Linked DNA regions of Coturnix japonica. The protein of the gene in region 6 interacts with the protein of the main gene of each other region in a biochemical or structural test. Links are inferred from orthologs where the notes say so. Each region holds a gene or a part of one and is shown on either strand. Other genes may lie near its edges.

Region 1 (2,974 bases), on a different chromosome or scaffold from region 6:
CAAGCCCCATAAGGGAGGTTTCTTCACTGTTCCATCACACCAGTTTTGTGCTTGGAGCACTGAAGAGTATTACTCTTGGCAGGTACCAAATATAATTGCAGCAAGGGACAAAGAGGTATTTACAGAATCTTCCATGAAATTAAACTCTATTCAGTCTGTTTCTCCAAGCATTTCTCTTCCATTCTGAGGTAATGAACGCAGTGCTGAGGCACTGAATGTATACAGTAGATTCGTATCCAGTTTGCTTGAAAAACAGCAAGATAAAAACAAAATGCAGTGTGTGATAAACACGCCCTGTCTGACCATTCCTGTGAGTGACCTTTTCTGGATGACGCCAGACTCACCTAGTGGTACATCTTTCAGTAGCAAATGTACATCTCGATAAAGAAAGGGGAAAACACACACACAAAAGGGAGTGTAAAATGCTGGAAAAGTGACGGTGACTGAAACAGGAAAGAAAGTTATTCACAGAATGTACTGATTTCTGAATTGACTTGTTTGCTAATGAAAATAACAAAGAGCCTTCTGTTTCTATTGGAAAAAGATTTGAATAGTGAGCTCACTATTTTTGTTATAACTTAATTAATGCAATGTAGTGTTAAAGACCGATGGCAAATCCAGCCCGCTGTATACAGGAGGTATAATTGCCTAGTTTTGTAAGCTTTGAAGTAAAATAACTTCATTTAAATACTTAAGGACTTTGAGAGATTCAAGTGCAGCAGGAACAATATGATTTTAACATTATGCTGGGTATTATTTCAGTCTTTATTGTGGAAAAACACATATTTCCTATAGATGTTTCATTGCAATTTCCTGTTTAGTTGTCAGTGTTCTCATAGTCCAGTGGCTGGAAGCTGGTCCTTAATGAAAGCTACTAGTTTTCCCTGGGTCTCCAAAGCCCCACTGTGTCTGAACAGCACTGTCTGAAGTGCTGTAGGAGCTCTGCTGGTTTGTTGAGGTCTGCCTCAGTTTACATGTGAATGGTTCAGTGGCACTTAGTCCTTTGGAATCATACTCTTTTCCCTATGTACCAAACTGTTTTTCTTCTGACTCCTTCCTCAACCAAAATCCTACCCTCAGCATGATGATCACCAGTATGTGACTGAGAAGCAGCCTTCTTTTGATCTATGTGTCTGCTTCGTCTCCCTTCTTACTACCTACTTGAGCTCTAAATGTATATGCTGCCCTAAAGGCATTGCTCTCTTGAATTAGCATGCCATCTGAGTGCCTGGCCTGGAATGAGACCCCCAGTCAGTCAAATACAGAGACATGCAGGACCCAGCATAAATTTATTATAAACCACTATTCATTTTTAAATACCTCTTGTAAGTGGAGAAAGGGTCACCCCACTGTTTTCTTCTGGAGCAATCCTGCTGAAGGAGGCTGTTATTCCCACTTCCCTCCACTACTGTGCTAAGCTGGTGATCTTTCTGGTGATGTGACCTGAGGCATTCAGCTGCCAAGGGATGTCTTGGTTTTGCTTGTGAAAGAGTTATTTCCATTCCCTATGAAGAGCGACGTCAGGGAAGGAGGTTAGGAGTATCAGAAGCTAAAAGAACAAGGGTGGATTACATAGATTTCTTATTAATTCGGAGGGTCAGACGTTCTAAAGGCAGCAACCTCACAGGGACCAAAAGAAGCAGCATCATTGTATTTATCTTCTTCTCAGTACGAAGTTCAGACAAGTCTCTAGATGCAAGGATGGGAATCTGAACATAAACAGTTTGTGTTTGTATATTGCTGTTTAAATCAGAAGCCTACAGGGAATGTAGTTTGGCAGCCAAGTCTGGCCACCTCACAGGTGAGTGTGTGGAGGATTAAGGATCACATTCAGTCTGGGCTTCTGTGTAGCTGTACTTGAATTATTCCTGGTGGTTTTCTTTTCAGAACCTGCACCTTTTTTGGAGGTGCTGAAATGGTTTAGATCGTGGAAGAAAGCAGCTTGTCCTGGGTACTGAAGCAAAGCTCAGTAGTCTCTTCTCTTTCCCTTGCAGACCCTCTGGACCACGAACCTGCTATTTCTCCTCTGCTGCCACGGAAGGAGAGAGTGGCCCTGGAGAGCAGTTTGAATGAAGATGAGAGGCTGCTTCCAAAAGACAAAAAGCCCAACCTCTTCAGTGCCCTTATCAAGAAGAAGAAGAAGACTGCCCCCACCCCTCCAAAGCGGAGCAGCTCCTTCCGAGAGATGGACGGCCACTCGGACCGCAGGGTGGGTGGGGAGGAGGAGTGCAGGGATGCTGGCAATGGAGCTTTCGTTGCTCCTCCCACAGAAGCAGCCGACCCCTCTAAGTTTCAAACCCCAAGCAATGGGGCCGGTGTCACCAACGGGGTTGTTGCTGGGAACTCTGGGTTTTTGTCTCCCCACTTACGGAAGAAGTCCAGCACAATGAGCAGCAGCCGGGGGGTGTCTGGGGAGGAGGAGAGCAGTTCCAACTCCAGCAAGCGTTTCTTAAGGTCCTGCTCAGCCTCCTGTGTGCCCCACGGTGCAAAGGACACGGAGTGGAAATCAGTGACTCTGCCCCGGGATCTGCAGTCCACAGGACGCCAGTTTGATTCCTCCACTTTTGGGGGGCACAAAAGTGAAAAGCCAGCACTGCCTCGAAAGCGGGCAAATGAGACCAAGACTGACATTGCTGTCAGGGGGACAGTGACCCCCCCTCCACGGCTGCTTAAGAAAAATGAAGAGACCACTGATGATGTGTTCAAAGATGCGGAGTCAAGTCCTGGCTCCAGCCCTCCCACTCTGACTCCAAAACTTGGCCGTAGGCAACCCGCCGTCCCCCCCTCCTCCAGCGTGCTGCACAAGGACGATGGAGTCAAATCCAGTGCCTTAGGTACCACTGCGACAATGGACCAAGGTTCTGCTGCCAAACCCAACTCTGCTGCATTTGCAGGTGCCAGCAAAGCTTCTGTTGAGGAGCCGCGGCTCAGGAGGCTCAAGCAGACCTCTGAGTTGGCAGGGAAGGACAAAGGG
Region 2 (3,500 bases), on a different chromosome or scaffold from region 6:
AATGCTGTAAGTAGTGGGGAAATTTACAGAGCAGGGTGACTCAGTGACACTGTGCCTAGATTAAATAAAAATATTTTTCATCTCCAAGCACTTTGTGTAAAAATAAACTCGTTAAAACGTGAGTTGTCCTCCCAAAAAACCATTTGGAGACATCTGCAAGGAATCACTAAGATTGCTGAATTTGTTTTCCACTTGCCTAGTTTTTCCCATCTAAAACCTGTTTGATCAAGTGTTTACCTCAGATTAAGGTTAAAACCTCATGGTGAAAAAGGTTCAGATGTAAATCTTCGCCAGTTCTTCATTTGAATAAATGACTCCTGTGAGCCTGTGTAGAAGAATAACAACCCTGCTGGAATCAGAGAAATTACGCTGATGTGAAAATGGTACAAGAGGGCAACCAGGCTTACTGAATTTGCAGACACATGGCTCAGGTTTCTTAGAAGTTTGCAAATGTCCAAATGCTGAATCTGGATGAGACATCGCTTCTGAATGCATGTGACTCTTCCAGCATGCAAATCACAGCCTGTGCTTGTTCAGCAGTGTGTGCTGTGGCATGTAAAAATGTGAAAGCATGACCCTCAGCATAATATTGTTCTGCATAACAGTACAGTAATTATTTGACTTTGAACTTAATGTAAGGAATCCTCCTTAGTAAGAAAAGAAGTGGCACCAATGCTCACCTTCTGGTGAAATCAGGTGGTTCCCTTGATCACAGCCTTGAGTGGCAGTGGTTAGGAACAGTGGTTTCCATTCCATAAAAGGATTGCTTGTGGTTGCCTTTACACTACAAGACCTTTTGAATGGAAAAAAACTCAGGAGAAAAAAATACTTTTGGACCCAAGAAGTAATTTAAAAACTTTAACTCTTTTTATATAACTTTACACATTCCTGTACAAGAAGTATTTATTGACAGGGCCTGCTGTGGACATTGCTTACTGTCTGAGCTAGCCTTTTTTGATAGGATACTTAATGCTTTTCTGTGCTCTCTTTCTAGGTGTAGTAACGCTGCCTTTGCCAGTGCCAGAAAAAAGTATGGTAGGTATCTGCACTACTGGCAGAGAGGGTCCAAAAATAAGAACTATGGGGGCTGCAATGGTGTGAATGTCCCATGCATGCCTTAGCCTGACCTTTGCAGCTCCAGAGTGGGGCAGTCCAGTCTTTTGCTTTTGTAGTGCTCGATTGGTTTGCAGGGGTGTAATAGCAGAGGTAGGGTGGTGGGGAATCACAGAGTGGAGAGCAATGATGATGATTCTGTGTCGTTTTCAGCGAAGGCCACCACCACCTGTTCCTCCAGCTGAGGAAAATGACAACGAAGAGGAGGAGGTGGTGGTTGCAATGTATGACTTCCAGCCCACAGAACGTCATGATTTAAGGTTAGATAAAGGTGAAGAATATACAGTAATTGAGAAGAATGACATTCACTGGTGGAAGGCGAGAGACAAACATGGGTAAACATGAGTTTCTTACTTTTCCTTATAATGTTTTTCAGGCTATTTTCATGTTTTAGTAGTTTATATTGATTGTGTGTTAACAAATAGCTGAAATTTGCACCAATTCTGTAGGCTGTGTAACTCTTTAGATGAAGGCTAATGGGGAAATGCTGATGTGGAAAATTCATTACTGAGTAATTAGTAGATTGGGTAGCTTGGTTAAAAATAGTAATAATAATAATAATAAATGAATGACTGCTAGTGACCTGTGGTAATTAACAGAATTTATACTGTCTTCTAGGCATGTAATTTTATGTCCTTTTTTGCTAAGAGTGAATATATTTTTTAGGCATGAAGGATATATCCCAAGCAACTATGTAACAGGAAAGAAGTCTAACAACCTTGATCAATATGAGTAAGTGAACATTTAAATTAAAATGTGAAATACCATAATACTTAAAGCATAGCTTTTATTTTACAATGCATTTATTTCTGTTTTGAAACCTTATACTGTTGTAGATGTTGAAAGCAGTGCTGTCTACTATAGCACTGATCTGGGAGATTAAATATTTTAAATATGTAAATATTTTTTCTGTTTCTCCTTGCTGTTTTTTGTTGTGGTTTATAAGGTAGATATAAGACAGAGATGGCCGTTAGGCAAGTAGTTTCTAGAATATTAGCATTAAAAGCAAAAAAAAACCCAAAACAAACAAAAGTAAAAACTTAACAAAAAAGTCTCCTGATAGAAAAAGAAAATTATCCATTTTAAACATGCAGAATGTTTTTTAATATTAAAGTGATATACCTACCCAGGATGTGGCAGGAAGATAGAGGAGAGAACAGCGGAAATTGTACAAAGTAAATGTAAGTAACATCAGCTATTTTGCAAGGAAGCTCTCAAATTCAACAAAGTGTTTCGCTTGGCGCATTTGAAGTCTCAGTGTACTCATGCAGTATATCAGATGTGAAAGTACAGAGAGGTTTTTTATGTTTTATTTTTCTGATTTATTTATGAAGTAGATATGTAAGAGCACCAGGACAAAAAATTATCAGAATGGTAACTTTGCAATATTTGGTTTTAAGCCTTTTACATAAATTGGATGTCTGGGAGAACTTTTGGTTAGTTGCTGATGTTGTGTTGCAGGTGGTACAGCAGGAACCTGAACCGCAGCAAGGCAGAGCAGCTCCTTAGAAATGAGGTGAGTACAGCAGCCTTGTGTACAAACCACGGCATTTTCTTAAACCTATTTAAGCTAACGTTTCATTTTGACATGTGCGAATCACAGAACAAGAATGAAGGATATGAAGATTAAAGTTATTTGTGGTATAAAACTGTTAATGTGCTTGTATTTTAGGACAAAGAAGGTGGTTTTGTGGTGAGAGATTCAAGTCAGCCTGGCTTGTATACAGTTTCCCTTTATACAAAATTTGGAGGGTAAGTTTCTGTGCCCACCCTGTATACTTTACCTTGTCTGAATTTGTGTGAGTGAGTGTACACTGAGACTCTTGGCCTAGAGGGGAGGCCAGGAGAGAGCTCAGCAAAGAGGGGGAGGGCTGCTAGTTAGAATATGTGGGTGACATAACATCAGCTTCTTGACTGTGTGCTTAAGCCTCATTGGGTTTAATGTAGTGTAGATCTGACCTGCCACTGAAAGGAGGCTCTGACATGCTTTTGAGTCTTTTCCTTTGTGCCAGCCTATGTGCTCACGTGGGGAGCTGAGTTGAGGAGCAAGCCAAAATGAGAATTAATTCATGTGGTTAATATTCAACAAATGACATTATTTTACTTGTTTTTTCAGAGAAGGTTCATCAGGAATAAGACACTACCATATAAAAGAAACAGTGACATCACCAAAGCAATACTACCTTGCAGAAAAACACCTCTTTAACTCCATCCCAGAAATAATTGAGTATCACAGACATAATGCAGCAGGTAAAGGGACTGAATTTTTCCTGTTACTATGGGTTCTTTTGATAAGGAATCTGGTTTTTAACGAAGGCTGTTAGGATGTTATAGATCCTAGATATAGAAGACTGCATTAAGCTGCGTTTCATATTATTTCAGTACAC
Region 3 (4,282 bases), on a different chromosome or scaffold from region 6:
TTCTTTAAATAAAGCCTCATCAAAGCCTGGAATTCAACTTGAAAGTCTTAAAAAAGAGGAAATGCAAGTGACCCGGGGCAGATGACTTTGCTGGCAAAGTAGAAAGAAGCAGCGTGTCAGGGGCAGGGGTGAAACAACTCGGCCAGTCTCACAAGAAATTACCTTTCTGTGGAACCCTTGCCACACTTAGAACTGCTCTACCCAGATTAAATCTATTGGAGGAGTGCTGCAGGAAATTCAGAGCACAGATGCCCTGGTCTCCATGCTTATATGCGCATGCTGTTGCCCCTTTAAGTCAGTTAAAAAAGCGTGTTTCGTCGAAGCAATCATAAATATTTACACTGCAGCTCTATGTTTAGGAATATCATTTTAACAACAAGACTGTGCTGAAATCCTTTTATTTAAAAACCCGTAGGAGAAAGCAAACAGCATTAAACAGAAGCCCACGGAGCCAGTGGGCTGCAAGACAACGTGGAATTACATATCCGATTGAAATATGGCAACGTGGAAACCAAGCCCGTAAGAGATGGCTGTTGAGACTGTAATTTCTTTACCAGCACAGCAGGGCATGAACGCGCTGCCATTCTGTGAGCCCAGGGACGCAGACAGCGTCTGCTCTGACACCGGGCACGAGCCCAGCAGAGTCCCACGGGTACTCGCAGCGCTGCAGGACCTGGAATGGGATCCTGCCTTCAGAAGGCAAGATAGGAAGGTTCGTTTCGGCAGATAAAAGGAGGTTTGTCTGCAGGGCGGTGGAAGCGCGAGTAGGAGTTTGTTTTAGTGGCCTGGGGAGAAATTCACTTAATTCTTTTGGTAACACAAGGCTTTGAAAACCTGAATGTTTAGATGCCTCCTGAGAACTTTGGAGAGGCGTGCAAGTGTCAACGTGCTGCTATTTGTCAGCTCTTTTATTATGGGGGGGGAGGGAAAAAAAGAAGAAGAAGAAAAAAAGAAGATAATGAGAGAAGTATCAGCACGGTAACGGAGTAACCGGCAATGGAGTACGGGCGGCAGTGCGGTCACACAGCGGCTGCAGGCGATGCGCTGTTCTCCTCCCGCAGCACACGGCGGTGCAGCTATAACGGGGACACACAAAGCACGGGCTCAGCACGCCCCGATCGCGCCGTCCCTTCCCGCCGTGCCCCCGCGCCACCTGCCGCCTCTCCTGGCTTTTACTCCCCATACTTTCTTCTATTTTCCCTCCCAAAGGCAGCTCAGCCTCAGGGCGCACCATGGCCGCCCCTTGGCCGCACACCATGGCGGCTCGGGCCGCTCCTACCCCGCACTTTCCTCCCCCACGCGGTGCGGCCGCTCCCCCTCCTGCCCCGCCCAGCTCCACGCACGCGCTCATAGGGACGAGGCTGGGGAGCGGCGCACATGCGCGGCCCGTCCCACCGCCTCCGTCCTTCCCCCCTCCCGGCTGGCGGGCGCACGGGGGCGGGCACAGCGCGGGGCGGCCGAGCCGCTCCCCTGGCGGCCGGCGGGGCCGAGGCAGCCGCGCCGGGGCCCTGCGGAGCCGCCGTGAGCGCGCAGCCCCCGCCCAGCCGGGTATTGTTCGCGGCCCGTCTCCGCCGGGACAGTTTTGCCCTCGTCCCGGCTCCGCTCCCCGCCGGGGCGGGGTGGGCCGGGGCCCCTTTGTCGCCACCTCCCCGGCGTGCGGCGGCGGCGGCGGCTGCGGGCGGGAGGGCGAGCGGCGGACGGGAGGGGGGGCGAGGCTCAACATGATGGCGGCCGAGGCCGGAGCTGAGGACGGCGGTTCGGTTACCTCGGCCGGGACGGCGGCCGCCGCCGAGCCGGGGCACTGCCGAGGCAAAGCACCGGGGCCGCAGGGCCCCTTCGCGCCCGGCTCCAGCTCCGGCTCCGGCGGGGACAGCCCGGGCGCCGGCCCGGCTCTGTGCTCGGCGCTCGGGCTGCTGGCGCTCGGCTCCACGGGAGCCCCGCCACCGCCCAGCGAGCCGGGCTCCGCCGCCTTCCCCCCGCTGCCGCCGCCGCCGCCGCCCCTACCCCCGGCCGGAGGGCTGGCGGCCGTGGACGAGGGCGACTCGCTGGACGGGCCGGAGTACGAGGAGGAGGAGGTGGCCATCCCGCTGAACGCGCCCCCCACCAACCAGTAAGTACCGCGGCCCCCCACCCCCCTCGGTTCCGCTCCCGGAGCGCAGGAAGAGCGCGGCTCCGCGCAGCGCCGCGTGTCCGTGCGGCGGGGGGAGGCCCGGGCGGCTCCCGGACAGACTGGGACTGCGGCGCTAACTTTGTAACAGGCGGAGACCTCCCCGCTGTACAAAGCGCTGCTCTCCTCGTGTCATCCCTTTGCATTCCGTTGTTTATACCTTAAAAAAAAGCAACAAGAACAGCACAAAGAACACCCCAGCCTTTTTGTTATTTCATACAGGAATATCACGAAGGTTGCACGCACGTGTTTGCCTTCGTGGAGTAGGGAGGGTGAGGTTTGCTCACTCTGGAACGCGGGTTGGAAATGAGTAGAATTCTTCTTCTACTTTAAAATAGTGGGCGGGCTGTGCTTACAGAATAGCGCCTGACTTTGCTGCTCAGCCAGTTTAAAGCGAGGCTGATGTTGGTTTGTCTGTATGGAGGCAGGAGGCAGAGGTGAAAATCCTGCAAACCTCCTGTTGGATTTCATTCTGTTATCTCTGTTTTAAGGTGAATGGATGTCCTGTGGTGCTGGTAACAGAATTTCGCACTCTGAGCAGAGCAGTTCTCAATTTATATTGTGTGAAAAATGTAGGATCAGATAATGCTGTGTGTAGTTTGTGTAATTAATGAGCACTCCATGCACAACCTTTGGGCTGAAGCATAGGAAGTCTGCAGGTTTGTGTGTAGCACCTCAAGCCCCGTTTCAGTACAGAAAACAGTTCTCTGGGAGGGTGCCTGGCTATTTAAAAAATGGAGTTGCTTCAGAAGCTCTATTGGTTGCACCAAGTAGTGTCTAGAAATGTGTTGTTCCTGAAGTTTCCTGAGGATAGTAGATAATGTAAGGTTTCAAGGTACTGAAACAGTTGGGCTAGATGTTCATAGCGGGCTTTTCCAACCTTAAGGAGTCTGATTGTGTGAAACCATGAGGGTTGGTAGATAGTTTCAAGGCGTGGATCAGAAGGACGACCTGAAAGCCCATCTGAGTTTGGGTTCTTTGTTACATTCTTTCCCAGTACCACTCTTAAGAGACTTCTGCACCATTCGTGTATTTCCATGATTTCAGGAATCATTAAAGTCATCAGGAGGACATAAAAATGTACCGATATGAATCCCTTTTAAATTCATGTCTCTCGCTTTGACAGTCTTCCCTGTAATCTCCTGATTTCTTGACTTTCTGTAGAAGTTTGCTAACTTAAGGCAGTGTTTGAACAGTGTTTGACTGGCGTCACTAATGAGCTGGAAATATGATCAGGCAGTTCTGACAAAGGATCAGGAGGGAAATAGAGGCACACGAATGTGAAATTACTTCTTCAGGGTTGTCAAATCACTGGAGCACACAATTCTGTACTTCTGGTTTTCTCTCTGAAAATAGATCAGACTGCTTTTTCCATTAGATCCAGTTATGTTAGTCAGAGAGAGAGAGTCCTTTTTGGAAGTATCTTTAGGAAATGGGGTGACAGATTGTAAATGACCACCTGTTCGGTCCTAAATATGCAATATGGACATATGCTAATAGGAGTGGGATTTGCTGTCAGAGCATTGTCCTGTGACTGAAGTGCTGGAGTGATGTCTGTCTTTAAGTGCTTTGACAAGTGTGTGCTGAGGGGAAGGCTGTGCAGGCCCTAATTTGCTCTGGTTAACAGTACCTTATTCAGACAAAAGGGAGACAGGAGTCTTTGCAGAACCAGGGCATAACTGTGAGCTGAGCTTTCTTCATAAAAGAGAATCCTTCACAACAAATCAAGTATTGTGGAAAATGTACACGTACCTCCCTACTCTGTGTTCTTAACAGCTTTTCCTTTGCCACATAACCCTCGGAGTGTGACTTTTCAATAAAAAATTGATTGAATAGAACCGTGTTTCTCTCTCATTCAGCTCCTTTATGGTGTCAGTTTTCATCGTTCTTATTTAAGTCATTCAGATTGGCCATATGCTGATAGTAAATCGCATCCTCTCAGTCCTGCTGTTTTATTTTGGAAGGGCCCTTTCTTTGTAGATGTACCATCTGCTTCTATGGAATTAAACTCCTGATTTATTATCAAAACAAAGATCAATATTATCTATAATCTTATACAGGGAAAGGTTTGCTATAATTCTTTAGGAATAATGATTGAATTTATAGTTAAGATTA
Region 4 (4,239 bases), on a different chromosome or scaffold from region 6:
TACTCAGTGAGAGTGACTTGGAATTGGAAAGCACCTGCCTTTCACTTCTAGTTTCAGCCTCTGCATCCCTCTCTGCCCTGCCCCCCCACCGTGTGTTTTTGGTGCTACTGAAAGGTGAAGAGAAAGAAGAAAGAGGTTTCAGGGAAGGGAGTGGAATGCCTCACAAAGAGCATGGGTGGGATGGTGAGAAGAGCAGGGCTGGGAGTGGGGCAGGAGGAGAGGGCAGCTGGAGGGCTGCAGGTGAACGCGCCTCGGGCACAGAGCTGAGCCGTGAGCCGGGAGGGCCCCTGCCAGGGTGCTGCGAGGGCACGTTGCTGAGCCAGAGCCCCAAAGAGGAGAGGCTGGATGCCAGGAGTGTCTGGTGGCCATTTTCAATGTGGGTCTGGGCTCAGCCCGTGCAGCAGCACCTCGGGGCTGGGGCCGAGCCCGGTGCCCGGGGCTGTGCTGCCTGCAGGAGGCTGCGGGGCTGTGGGGCTGGGGCAGCCGCTGTGGGTGCAGCATCCATCCATGCCCTGCTATGCCCTGTAGAATTAACAACACCGAAAGGACTTTCCACGGACACCAGGCTGCAGTCTGGGGCCGCAGCCTCCAATTCATGCAGGGAGCGATGATCAGGCTGCTCCTGGCAGGAAGGCCCCCCCGTGCGATGCGCTGGCCGGTGGGGACGGCTCGGTGTGTGCATGACTCCCGGTGACTCATGGGTTTGTTGGCCCTCGGCAGTGTCACGGGAAATATTTTTTTAATAACTCAAATGAGCCGGGGGAGGGGTGCGCACTGCAAACAAACTCAGTCACCCTCCGCACTGATTCTGAAGCGCTGGAGTTTCCAGAAGCCCCCGCTCTGGTCGCTGTGAGGGGCAGCACGAGGGGTGGGCACGACGTCCACGCTCGTGGCTCCACGGGGAGGCTCACGGCACGCTCTTCTTTCCCTGTTTATTCCCCTGCGCTGAAGTTTTGCCTCCTCCCCGAGATCAGGGGGATGGGGACGAGGATGCAGGAGGGCGCAGAATCCATCACAAAGCGGCTGTTCGCTGCGTGCCCCGGTCGCTATAATAAAAGCGAACCGCAAAGCAGCCGGGTTGTAACCTCAGTGCAAATCACCGCTCTCCTCTCGCCGATCCCGGGCGGGCAGCTCGGAGCCGAGCTCAGAACCGCGCCGCGCTCCCACGCGTGGCCCCGCCGCGACCGGGCGGCTCCGGGACGGGGTGCGTCGGTAGAGCCGCGGGCGGGGGCGGCTCCGGTCGCTGCTCCGCACCCCGCCGAGCCCGGCAGCCCGGAGGCTTCTTCCTTAAAAGAAAAAAAAAAAAAACCCGAGGGGAGGGGCTCGGCGATTTTTCTTTTCTTTTTTTTTTTTTTTTTCCTATAAGCCGTTTCCGGTTTACTGCTGCCATATTCCTAGTTTTTTTTCCCTCCCTGTGGGCTGTTCCCCCCTTACACACACACACACACACACACACACACACACACCCCGTACAAGGGGTGATCGGGGGCGGGGAAGCGGCGCTCCGGATCCGCGGTGCTGCGCGATGCTGCCGGCGGCGCAGCCCTGAGCGTCCGGCACGGCCCGGCCCGCGGTGCGGGCACCCAGAGCGGCGGCGGCGGCTGCGGGGGGCGGCGGCCGCGCCCCCGGCACGGAGACAAAGCCGCGGCCGAGCCCTGGAGGGGAGCGGCGGGGTCCGGCCTCGCGGGGCGCACACGCGGGAGGTGAGCGGGGGCTGCGCGGGGTCCGGCGGCGGGGATGGTCCCCGCGGGGTCCGGCTGCGGGGCCGGCGGGAGATGCTCGCCGTGCGGTGGAGGATGCCCGGGTGGCAGCGGGGCGGCTCCGTAATGCCCGCGGTAACGGCGGGGCGGCTCCGGGTTGCGTGGGGCGGCCGTGGGTCCGGCGGAGAGTGCGCGGGGTCCCGGGGCCGGCTGCGGGGCTGCCGGGGGATGGGGACGGGCCCGCCGGGGGAGCGGAGGGGGGAGCTGCGGGGTCCGGCCCCGCCTGCCCGCACTCCCCTTTGTTGTGATCGGGGGCTGCGGGAAACACTGGGAGAGCAGAGCAGGGAGAGCCGGGCTGTGTGCAGGCCGGGGCATGAAATATTCATCGCCCCCCTGCTTTGATGTCTCCTGCTCCGTTTCCCTCTCGATATTCGCTCGTCGGTGATTCGGGGCTCGTGTCCGCGCTCCGCCGGGCGTTCGCTCTGCCCTCGCCCGGGGAGGCTGCAGAGCCCCGCGCTGCCCGGGGAAGGGCTGTACCCGGCCGGCAGGTTCTCCCGGAGCAGCCCGGCTGCTGTGCGTGTCTCCGCCGCGAGGAAGCACCGTGGGACTTGTCTGAACCACGCCGGGGCCTGGGTGGACTTTCCCCTGCTGACCGTGACCCCATGCAGTGCGCTCGGTCCCCGGCTCAGCCCCACGGCAGTTTGGTTTCCTCTTGACCGTCCCTTCTCTCTGCTGCCCGGGAGCTCTGAGGGTACAGGGAGCAGCTCCCGTGGGTGATGTTCCCCCACTCAGTGGTGTTTGGAGCCCGTAGGGTGCTCAGTGCCTGAGTGCTGGGAATGGGACAGCACTGATCCAACAGCATCGGATGTAAACGGAGCTGTGGGAATGTGGCAACAAAAGACTCAGTTTGGTGTTTTTCCTCCTTCCGTGCTGGTGCTCACCCCTGTCCCCAGGGATGTGATGGGGCATGTGGTGGGATGCCGGTGACCTTGTGCTTGGGAGCAGTGTGATGCTGTTGTTCCCCTGCACTCTTCTGCAGGATGATCCCCTGCTGCTGCTGCTTGTTTGTGCTGCTTCGTGCTGGCTCAATGGTTGGCCCATGGACAAACCTCTGCTGCTCAGTGTCTGAGATGAGGCTCCCTGGGGAGCACTGTGCCACTGTGAGCCTGTCTGTGATCCCACTGCACCTCTCCTTAGCAGGCTGTGGGCTGCACCCATTCCCAAGCTTTGACCTTATCTTCTTAGCTTTGGATCTTATCTGAGCACCTCGTGCTCAGGAGCTTCCCCAAAATACAGCCCGGTGATTTTGGAGCTGGGGTTGCTTATGGGCCATCACAGCAGAGGGATGTGCAGTGCTCGCTGTTAAGATTGTCAGTGGCCTTGCAGTGCTCCCTGTGTGATGGAGATGCCCTACAGATACCTCTGCTTTTGAATGACATTGTCCTGGAGTGACTCAAGATCACCCAGGTGGGTCTGTCTGTCCCAGCACAGCGAGGGAAGGGGCCGTAATTTGCAGAGTCTGATGTGTGAAGGCTCTGCTGCATACACAAGGAACAAACTGGTGGCACAGAGGGGACATGGGCTCCGGGCTGGCTCACAATGACATGTTTTAATGACCAGTGAGCACGTGCCACGTCTGGATGGAGAAGGGGTTGCAGCAAGCCCTGGGCTGGAGCACTCAGTCCACGTGCCTAAGGGGAAGCACAGCCGTGCATCACTGCTGCCCCGCACCACCCCAGGCATGGCAGGGGAAGCACCAAGGGCTATCTGCAGCACTATTGCTTCCTGTACCATCCGTCCTGCAGCACGGTTTCTAACTTGGCCCTTTATCTCTGGGAACCATTTCCCAGCTGACCTCACTTCCTCAGAGCTTCTGAGCTCAAAGCCCTCTCGGAAGTGTGGATGCAGGGTGAGCAGTGTGGGTCAGCTCCCTGGAGTGTGATGCTGTGTGATAGTCTGCTCTGCAGTCTGCTTGGCCAGGGGAAAAAGGAGCTGGTTGGTGTGGGCCATATGCTCAGTGCAGCCCTGCTCTGGTGCTGTGACCTTGGTGTGAGGGAAGTGGCACTGCTTTGCACATGCCTCTGCACATGCACAGGCTGAAAAGAAAGCCTTGAAACAGATTTCATGTGGTTTGAACGTGGGCCAGGAACCAGGACCTGTAAATCTGCGTCTTGCTCTGACTTCCCTCCAGGCTACGGATCTCCTCACTGCCCTCCTGGGCACAGAGCTGGGAATGCTTGGGATGCACTGGGAGCTGCCGGGGGGGGCAAAGCAGTGCTGGAGATGTGGAGGGGATGAAAGCAATAGTGGGGATACAGGGAGGAGAAGCTCTGGGGAAGCTGGGGTCTGGCTGGTGGCTTTGCTTCAGACCTTATGGGGGGCTGCTCCCAGCCCCAGGATGGCTGTGCTGTGCAGAGGTGTGGAGGAGCTGGAATACCCACAGTGTAACGTGAGGGGTCCTGTCTTGAGGTCTGCGTTGGTGAAGGGTTTGGAGAGGAAAATGGGGAACTGCAGCACCCGGAGATAACACAGTCTCACC
Region 5 (4,289 bases), on a different chromosome or scaffold from region 6:
TGATACGTCTAACAGGTAAGTTTCCCTAAGAGAAAAGAAGTTTGCATGGATGTGAATTTTCAGATGGAACTATTCATCTCTAGCCCTATTGTTTTGCTTGTGTTGCTCTGCATGATTAAACAGCTGTTGTTTTCCACCCAGGCAATGGCTGTACTCAGCAGCTGGTGAAGCGATACCTGCACATGTATTCAGGGCCTAGTTTAAGATCCTTCTGTATTAGTGATGTCACAAGATTTTCCTGAATATTTTTGCTAAAACATAAGGATCTGAGATAGGCGAGCTAGCTTCCATTGTTGTTATCTGTGCTCAGAACAACCCAAACACCTCAGCTGGTACCGGCTGCCAACATAGAAAATAAAGTGAAAAGAAAACTGGCTATGCTGTGATCAAGTCTTTTAACAAACAGTGTGCGAAGGGAAGAAGGCAAAGCTGGAGTTCAGCCTGCACAGCATCCAGCTTGGGCAGGTTGTGACATCTACCCCCAATCTTGCTTCTCCACTTGAGACGTTACTTACTTCACTAGGCTTTGTTTCACACTAACAGCCTCAAAAGTAGAACAAAACAAATAAAACTGAGTGCAATCACAGATCTGACCTAAAAAGCAGTGTTTGCAAATGTCTGTAGCACATTTGTCCTGTCCTTACCTAGGGCAGCCGGGCACAGAGTGATGCCTGAAATCAGACCCACTACCACAGCTCGTGCTGCTCCTCCAGCTCACAGCAGCACCCAGCACTGCTGGGCCCTGCTCAAGCCCTTCCCGGGCCTTCTTTCCTACTCAGCCAGCACCCCAAAGGGCTTTGAACTCCTCATCTGAGAACACCACAAGAGAGGAAACTCAGAACGCTTAGGAAACCAACACCATAAGTGCTCAGAGGAGGCAATGTGGGTGCCAACTGCATGCGGACAAGGAGCCCAGTCACAGAATCACAGAATGACCCGGGTTGGAAGGGACCTCAAGGATCATGTAGTTCCAACCCCCTGCCTGGCAGGGCCACCAAACATACACCTTTACTAGATCAGGTTGCCCAGGGCCCCGTCCAACCTGGCCTTGAACACCTCCAAGGACGGGGCATCCACAACCGCCCTGGGCAGCCTGTTCCAGGGCCTCACCACTCNAACCTCCCTGTGCAGCCTGTTCCAGGGCCTCACCACTCTCCTAGTGAAGCACTTCCCCCTGACATCCAACCTAAATCTTCCCTCTTTTAACTTAAAACCATTTCCCCGTGTCCTGCTATTGTCAGCCCTTTCCAAGAGTTTACTCCCCTCCTGGCAGTAAGTTCCCTTCAGGTACTGAAAGGCTGCAATGAGGAGCTGTGAGAGCCCAGGGTCTCACAAGAGGGGCCCATATAGCAGCACACCAACTCCACCGGCTCCCCGCACACACCTCCAGCCCAGCACCAGGCGGACACTTGCGGCACAGCCCCCACCTCCCCGCTCTCCCCTCACGCTGCCGCGGGTTGTAACGCGGCTGCGCGGGGCGGTGTCTCCGTCGGGCTCCCACTGCCCGGCGCCGCCGCCATTTTGGTGCTCGGCTCTAAGAGGGGAGGGAGCCCGTAGAAGAAAGCGGGAGCCCGGCGCTCTGCCCCTCCCGTTTCCCCTGGTCCGGCTTTAAGGCTCCGTAGCCGGATACTCCTCGCCACCTTCTCGGGCCGCTCATCTTTGCCGCTCGCCGCCGCTCCTCGCAGCTCTGCCCGGGCCTGAGAGAGGCGGGAAGGAAGGATGCTGCCCCGCACACCGCGCCGCTGAGCACATCGGGGCCCTGAGCGCCGCGTCTGGCCGGCCCCGCCCGGCCGATCCTCGGGCCTGAGCGGCACGGGGCTTCCATCTCCGCATCTCCCGTCCCCGAGTCGCCCATCCGCCGGGCTGGGCGCTTCCTCCTCGCCCCCGGCCCTGCCGCCCGCCCGTCCGGGCCTTCCCTTTCCCCGGCTCTCCTCCTGCGGGGCCTCCGGGCTCTCGGCCTTCTTCCTCCCCTCCCTCACCCTTCCCCGGCCGGAGCCATGTCTTCCGCCGCCCGGTTCGATTCGTCGGACCGCTCCAGCTGGTACGTGGGCCCGGTGTCGCGGGCGGAGGCGCAGACGCGGCTGCAGGGGCAGCGGCACGGCATGTTCCTGGTGCGGGACTCGTCCACCTGCCCGGGGGACTACGTGCTGTCGGTGTCCGAGAACTCCCGGGTGTCCCACTACATCATTAACTCCTTGCCCAACCGCCGCTTTAAGATCGGCGATCAGGAGTTCGAGCACCTGCCCGCCCTGCTGGAGTTCTACAAGATCCACTACCTGGATACCACCACCCTCATCGAGCCCGCGCCCAGGTGAGTGCTGCAGCTCTGCCACCTCGGAGCTCCGGGATCTGCATGATGGGGGTCCTTTGCTTTGGAACTCTTTCTGACAGGGATCTCGGAGATGGCTGTAGGCTGCTCGTTATCCTCAGTATAGTGCATAGGACCCATCCTTATGATGAAAACAGGCAGATGCAGAGGCTCTGGGAACATCCCTGCCACCCACTATAATTGTCTTGCAGGAGGGTGTGGTCTTGCTTTGTATCAGCCTTCTGGTATTGTCCCCTTGCTGGGAAGGCTGAGAAGCTGGCTCAGAAGTCTTCCCGTCCCTGGGAAGAAACACGGGCCTCAGAACTCAATTGCTCTTTCCTCACACCCACAGTGATTCCAACAGGTCGTGCCTTTGTGATTCCTGCTTCATCGTTCTGATTGAATTCTCATGCATAATAAAACATTGTTTCCCAGACTTCTTACCCAGAAAAGGGTAAAAGCATTTCTCTCTGTCTGGCTATGGCACTCTTTGTCTTTGTGTATGCAGGCACTAAGAAACCTTCTCTTAGGAGGATGGGAAAATGTGACTTGGCTGTGAGCTCATTCTTTGTCCTGCACCCAACACTGGGCATACCTGCAGCCTGCATCACTAAACAGCTTACCAGTAACTCTAGAACATATTTATTTCATCCTCTGTGCTTGCTAGATAAAAGAAGGAGAAAAGCTATTAAAATAGTGATCCAATTAAATAATAATAATAATCAAATAGCTTCAATTCTAAACTCTGCAGCCGAAGGGGCTTCTTTCAGGTTAACAAGTTCCTGGGAGGGAGGGCAAATAACTTTCAGTTTTAGAATCACAATTTAACGTTATCATAATCCAGTTCTTAATCACAATCAGTAAGTTGTCAAAAGCCAACCGTAGCATCACATTGAAAAACACAAGTGGTCAGCAGGCTCATGGAGCTGTCAGGTGGTGGGAGGAGCGTGGCAAAGTTCTGGCCTCAAGAGCTCCTAAAGCTGCTGAGAAACCTCCTAGTAGCGGTTGTGCTGTGGCTAAAGAAACGGGTAGGTGAAAAATTCCCTCCTCTTTCACAGGTGCAGAAACATTTAAGGAGCTGCACAAGGCTGTGTGTGCATTTAAACTTACGGACACAGCCTGTTCTGCAGTGATGCTCTTGCTCATCTCTGTTCTTGTTAACTTGGGCAGTGTCAAACTTCTCCGAAAACAACCAACCTCATTCTTAGTCACGGACAGCAATGACTTGGCTTTCGCAACTTAAACTGAGTTGATCCCACTTGTTCTCTTGGTATTTCTGTCATACCTTGCATGAAACATTTCCTGAACATCTTAGTACCACCTTATTTTCAAGGCTTTCAATACATTCAAATATTGGTGCTCTCAGCACACAGAGACGGATGGGACCTGGCATACTGCGAACTGACAGGCTCCCTTATAAAGCTACAAAGGCCATTGAAGTGGTTATCCACAGTATAATTCTAGTTCTAGAATTTTGGACAAAAATCACTGATGTGGTTGATGGTTTGGACTTCTGTTTATAAAAGAAACTTTGCGGTGCAAGAGGGAGAATGAGAGGTAGCACTTCCAGCTTTACTTTCTTTAAATTAATGGACTGGATTTAGAATAGGGGTGGACAGGAGTTTCTTTCAGAACTGTTATGGCTAATCCTCATTTCTCTTTAAAATCTGGCATTTTCAGTGGAACACCTCAGGTGCTTTTGTAGGCTGTTCTTCTGACTTCATGATGTGTGTATATATATAACATGTATATAAATATATATAAAACATATACATATATATATATTAGAAAGCAGTATTTGTGGTATGTTACTTTCAGCAGCTATTAGTATTTCATTTTGTATTTTATGAAGAATGTCACCTTATGCTGTTACATATTCAGATATTCAGGGAAAGGTGAGTACTCTTAAATAGAGCTGAAGCTGTGACAGTAAGATCAGGGAGCTTAATCCTGTATTTCTTTCCAGAATAAAAGGGAAATG
Region 6 (3,941 bases):
CCTGCAGCCTGAGTCGCACGACTTCATAAGGTGGGAAGAACACACGTGGCTTTGTTACTGTGGCCCATTCATGCAGGAGGATGAAGCGTTGGTGGCCTCCTGCACACGGGCGCTGCTGAGGGCCCTCCCAGCAGCTCTCACTACCTGTAGCGTTTCCATCTAACCAGCCTGCATGGGTTGGCATAGAAGAAATGGGTGTCAGAGGCCAACAGCCAGGATCTGCGGCATCCTCCTTTCCCCCTTGCAGGTTCAGGCAGTGCAGGGAGGCCAGGTGATGCTGTCTGGGCGTGTGGGGAGTGAGGAGCCTGCGAGCAACTGACCGGCTGCAGCCCGACAGTCAGAGTGCACCGTGGGCCAGCAGAGTGTGCTCAGAGCTCAGTGACACGCAGGCAGCTGCACAATGCAAGGAGCACTCAAAGCATGTGAAGATTCAGTCCCTGGGTGGGGCAGACACGATGCTGCTCATAACCAGAATCGTGCTCATCGATAAAAGCTGCACCAGGGCAGACAATTATACTGCAGGAAAGCCAGCTGAGTGCTGCCAGGCGGGGTTACTTGAGCAAGCAGCCCCTCCTGGGGCTGGCTGGGCACAGGCCATGATTGCTCACCTCCTGCACAAAGCTGTGCTGGGTTGTGCTGCGGGGACAGGCTGGGCTCCAGGTTGGGTGGGCTGCAGTGGCCAGGCCCAGCTCAGGCAGTGCCGGGTGCCCAACCTCCATCCTGCACCAGCAGCCATATCCCGGTGCCACCAACCGCTGGGGATGTCAGGCTGCGTGGAGCCCAGTGAGGGGTGAAGGACAGTGCCCCGGGCAGTGCCCTTCTGTCCCTTTTCTTTCCCAAGTGTGGATGCAGTGTGTCCAGTATCCAGACTGTATGATCCGATGCAAAGCCAAAGCACTGCGGGGCTGCTCTCCTGGCTCTGCCGGGCGCGGTGATCTACGCACACACGCATGCACACACACATATACACATACATACACACGCACATACACACATATACACATACGCACACTCACACACACACACACACACACACACAGACCCACGCACACGCCGCCCACGCACATTGCTGCTCATTGCTGCTCATTGCTGCTCATTGCTGCTCATTGCTGCTCTCGGCCCCTCCCGCGCGTTCCCTCACGTGCTCGCCCCGCCCCGCCCCGCCCTGAGCCCGGAGCGGCGGCGGAAGCGCGGGGAGCGCGGAGCGGGATGGAGCCGCCGGCCAAGGAGGGGCCGCTGTTCGTGCAGCACAGCAACAAGTTCGGCACCAAGGTGCGCGCCGAGGGGGCACGGGGCGGGACGGGGTCGGTCGGTCGGTCGGTCTCCGTCGGTCTCCGGGCCGTGGGTCGCATCGAGCCGAGCCGAGCGCAGCGCTGCCGAGCGATGGGGGCCGCAGATTGCTCCGCTCGGGCGGCCGCAATGGGAGGGAGGGAGGGAGGGAGGGAGGGAGGGAGGGCGGGGGCGGCCGTGCTCCGGGACGGGACGGGACGGGACGGGACGGGACGGGACGGGACGGGACCGGGAGGCCCCGCGCTGACTCGGTGCCTTGCAGCGGTGGAAGCGGGGCTGGTTCGCGCTGTTCCCGGCCAGCCAGCACGGCGTCGCCCGCCTGGAGTTCTTCGATTGCAAAGAGCCGGCGGGTCCGGCCGGGCGGTTGGGGACGCGGCGCCTGGACAAGACGGTGGTTCGCCTGGCGGACTGCACCAGCGTCAGCCCCGCGCCCGCCGAGAGCGGCCCCCGGGCCGGCACGGCCGCCTTCCGCCTGGAGACCAGCGGGCGCAGTTACCTCCTGGCGGCCGAGCGGCAGCAGAGCGACGAGTGGGTGGCCAAGCTGTGCGAGATCGCCTTCCCGGTGAGCGGGGCGGGGGGCGGGGGCGGCATCTCGTGTGTCGGTGTCGCGGCCCCGACGAACCGTCCCGAGGCACCGCGGCCGTTCAGGGGCTGCCCCGCGAAGCGGCTCCGGCCTCGGCAGCCGCCCGGGTTGGACTCGTGGGGCCGCCCGGCTGCTCAGCACAACGTCCCCAGGGGCTCCTGCCTGTGCCCCGCGCTCCGGGACATCCGCTGCGCTGCTGCACGGAGCCCTGCTCAGCCCCTCAGACCTGCTGAGGGCTGGAGGTGTGTCCCCGTCGGTCCCAGCTCTTTGCCTTTCCTGCAGAGGCAGAAGCTCAACACTGAGTGGTGCAGTTTCCAGCTCTGGGACCCGTCAGGCTCCTGGGAAGCACCAGCAGCTCTGGGGACAGAGCAGCCCCTCACCGAGCCTAGGGGTCACTGTCCAGTGCCAGCATCAGTGCTGGCCCATGGCTTCCAGCTTCCCAGCCCTTCCCAGCCCCTCCCCAGGGCTGGCTATCAGCTGCCTATTGCATCCTTGAGAAGGCAGATCACAGGGCAGTGGTGGCCTGTATGTGTTGGTGTTTGCATGGCTCTATGACAGGTCCCTGCCTGTCTGATCCCACATGTGCCCTGTACTCATTTTGGGGTGGGAGAATTGGTCACTGCTGGGCAGTGCTTCCAGACTCAGGCTATGGATGCAGGGCTGGGCTTCCCTGTAGGACCTCCCTGCAGCCATCAGTGACTGGCCCAGCTCAGAGGCACTGGTGGCACCGGGAGTCTTTCCATGTCTGTGGCCCTGTGTCATGCAGACTGTATTGCAGCCTTTGTCCTAGGCAGGGTTCCTGGTGCTCAGCTGGGAGCCCACCACCCACCTTCATTATGGTGGGGGCAGTGATGAGTGCTTCCTTGGAGCAGTGCTGTGCTAACACCTTGGTTCACCTGGTAGCTGCCAGTTGCAAACTTGGGGTCCAGAAGCTGGTCAGCAGCTTAAGGATGAGTTTGACAGTGCTGTGAGATCAAGGGGCTGTACTGAAGGCCTGCCCTGGAGCACAAGGTGTAGGAGCTGCTGCATGTGATCTATGCAAGAAGGTGAAGGTGCTTGGTTGCAATTTCTGCTCATCTGCTTGGAGAGTGAGATTTTGTGTTGTGTTAACTGTGGTCCAGGAGGTAAGCAGCTTGGGAATGGCCCACAGAGATCATTTGATCCTGGGTTGCATCAAGAGAATCACAACCAGCAGGTTGAGGGAGATGATTCTGCCCCTCTACTCTGCTCTTGTGAGACCCCACCTGGAGTACTGTGTCCAGTTCTGGGGCCTCCAACACAAAAAGGACATGGAGCTGTTGGAGCAGGTCCAGAGGAGGGTCACAGAGATGATCAGAGGGCTGGAGCACCTCCCCAGCAGGGGCAGCATGAGGGAGCCGTGGCTTTTCAGCCTGGAGAAGAGGAGGCTCAGAGAAGACCAGATAGTGGCCTTCCAGGACCTGAAGGAGCCTACAGGAAAGCTGGAGAGTGAGTTATTGAAAGGGCATATAGTGACAGGACGAGGGGAAATGGCTTTAAACTTAAAGAGGGTAGATTTAGACTAGGTAATAGAAAGAAATTCTGTCCTGTGGGGGTGGTGAGGTACAGGAACAGGTTGCCCATTGAGGTTGTGAACGTCCCCTCCCTGGAGGCATTGCAGGCCAGGCTGGATGGGGCTGTGAGCAACCTGGCCCAGTGGAAGGTGACCCTGCCTATAGCGGGGGGTTGGAACTAGAGGATCTTAAAGGTCCCTTCCAACCCAAACTGTTCTGATTCTTTTTCTTTTGAGCATGAGGGAAGGTGCAGTCCAACAAAGCCCCTGGGCATTCTTGGCTGCCTGCTCCCAGGTTGAGCTCTGCTCCATTGGATACTTCAGGAGGGCAGAAGATGCTGCTGTCAGCTCTTGGACTTTGGGTTTTAGCAGCGCATCCTGTTTAGAAGCCAGAGAGAATCTGTTGGCCTTGTTTGGGCCTTACTTCTCACAGGGGAGCTCATGTGACTAGTTTTAAACTGAAACTGCAGCAGCTTGCCTTCTGCAAGATGTGCTGCAACCCCGGCCACGTGACCCTGGGAAAGTTTCCTGCTTGGT

The links.
Region 1: the proteins of DOK1 (region 6) and ABL1 form a complex in vitro, tested with the Homo sapiens proteins (5 studies listed by BioGRID, with this or other methods). The link is inferred for Coturnix japonica from reciprocal best matches to the Homo sapiens genes DOK1 and ABL1.
Region 2: of the proteins of DOK1 (region 6) and TEC, one has a biochemical effect on the other in vitro, tested with the Homo sapiens proteins (2 studies listed by BioGRID, with this or other methods). The link is inferred for Coturnix japonica from reciprocal best matches to the Homo sapiens genes DOK1 and TEC.
Region 3: the proteins of DOK1 (region 6) and RASA1 form a complex in vitro, tested with the Homo sapiens proteins (2 studies listed by BioGRID, with this or other methods). The link is inferred for Coturnix japonica from reciprocal best matches to the Homo sapiens genes DOK1 and RASA1.
Region 4: the proteins of DOK1 (region 6) and SRC form a complex in vitro, tested with the Homo sapiens proteins (2 studies listed by BioGRID, with this or other methods). The link is inferred for Coturnix japonica from reciprocal best matches to the Homo sapiens genes DOK1 and SRC.
Region 5: the proteins of DOK1 (region 6) and CRKL form a complex in vitro, tested with the Homo sapiens proteins (2 studies listed by BioGRID, with this or other methods). The link is inferred for Coturnix japonica from reciprocal best matches to the Homo sapiens genes DOK1 and CRKL.

What each region holds. Positions count from the first base shown.
Region 1 is NC_029532.1:4,620,324-4,623,297, forward strand, and holds part of ABL1 (tyrosine-protein kinase ABL1), read left to right. Parts: intron 1-1,994; coding exon 1,995-2,974. UniProt on the Homo sapiens protein: Non-receptor tyrosine-protein kinase that plays a role in many key processes linked to cell growth and survival such as cytoskeleton remodeling in response to extracellular stimuli, cell motility and adhesion, receptor endocytosis, autophagy, DNA damage response and apoptosis.
Region 2 is NC_029519.1:60,016,314-60,019,813, forward strand, and holds part of TEC (tyrosine-protein kinase Tec), read left to right. Parts: intron 1-994; coding exon 995-1,035; intron 1,036-1,266; coding exon 1,267-1,448; intron 1,449-1,779; coding exon 1,780-1,845; intron 1,846-2,574; coding exon 2,575-2,629; intron 2,630-2,785; coding exon 2,786-2,865; intron 2,866-3,229; coding exon 3,230-3,363; intron 3,364-3,500.
Region 3 is NC_029547.1:54,365,730-54,370,011, reverse strand, and holds the start of RASA1 (ras GTPase-activating protein 1), read left to right. Parts: upstream 1-1,482; 5' UTR 1,483-1,721; coding exon 1,722-2,110; intron 2,111-4,282. UniProt on the Homo sapiens protein: Inhibitory regulator of the Ras-cyclic AMP pathway. Stimulates the GTPase of normal but not oncogenic Ras p21; this stimulation may be further increased in the presence of NCK1.
Region 4 is NC_029535.1:4,438,549-4,442,787, forward strand, and holds the start of SRC (proto-oncogene tyrosine-protein kinase Src), read left to right. Parts: upstream 1-1,439; 5' UTR 1,440-1,703; intron 1,704-4,239. UniProt on the Homo sapiens protein: Non-receptor protein tyrosine kinase which is activated following engagement of many different classes of cellular receptors including immune response receptors, integrins and other adhesion receptors, receptor protein tyrosine kinases, G protein-coupled receptors as well as cytokine receptors.
Region 5 is NC_029530.1:7,302,009-7,306,297, reverse strand, and holds the start of CRKL (crk-like protein), read left to right. Parts: upstream 1-1,489; 5' UTR 1,490-1,997; coding exon 1,998-2,311; intron 2,312-4,289. UniProt on the Homo sapiens protein: May mediate the transduction of intracellular signals.
Region 6 is NW_015439533.1:510,280-514,220, forward strand, and holds the start of DOK1 (docking protein 1), read left to right. Parts: upstream 1-1,141; 5' UTR 1,142-1,209; coding exon 1,210-1,272; intron 1,273-1,552; coding exon 1,553-1,852; intron 1,853-3,941. UniProt on the Homo sapiens protein: DOK proteins are enzymatically inert adaptor or scaffolding proteins. They provide a docking platform for the assembly of multimolecular signaling complexes. DOK1 appears to be a negative regulator of the insulin signaling pathway.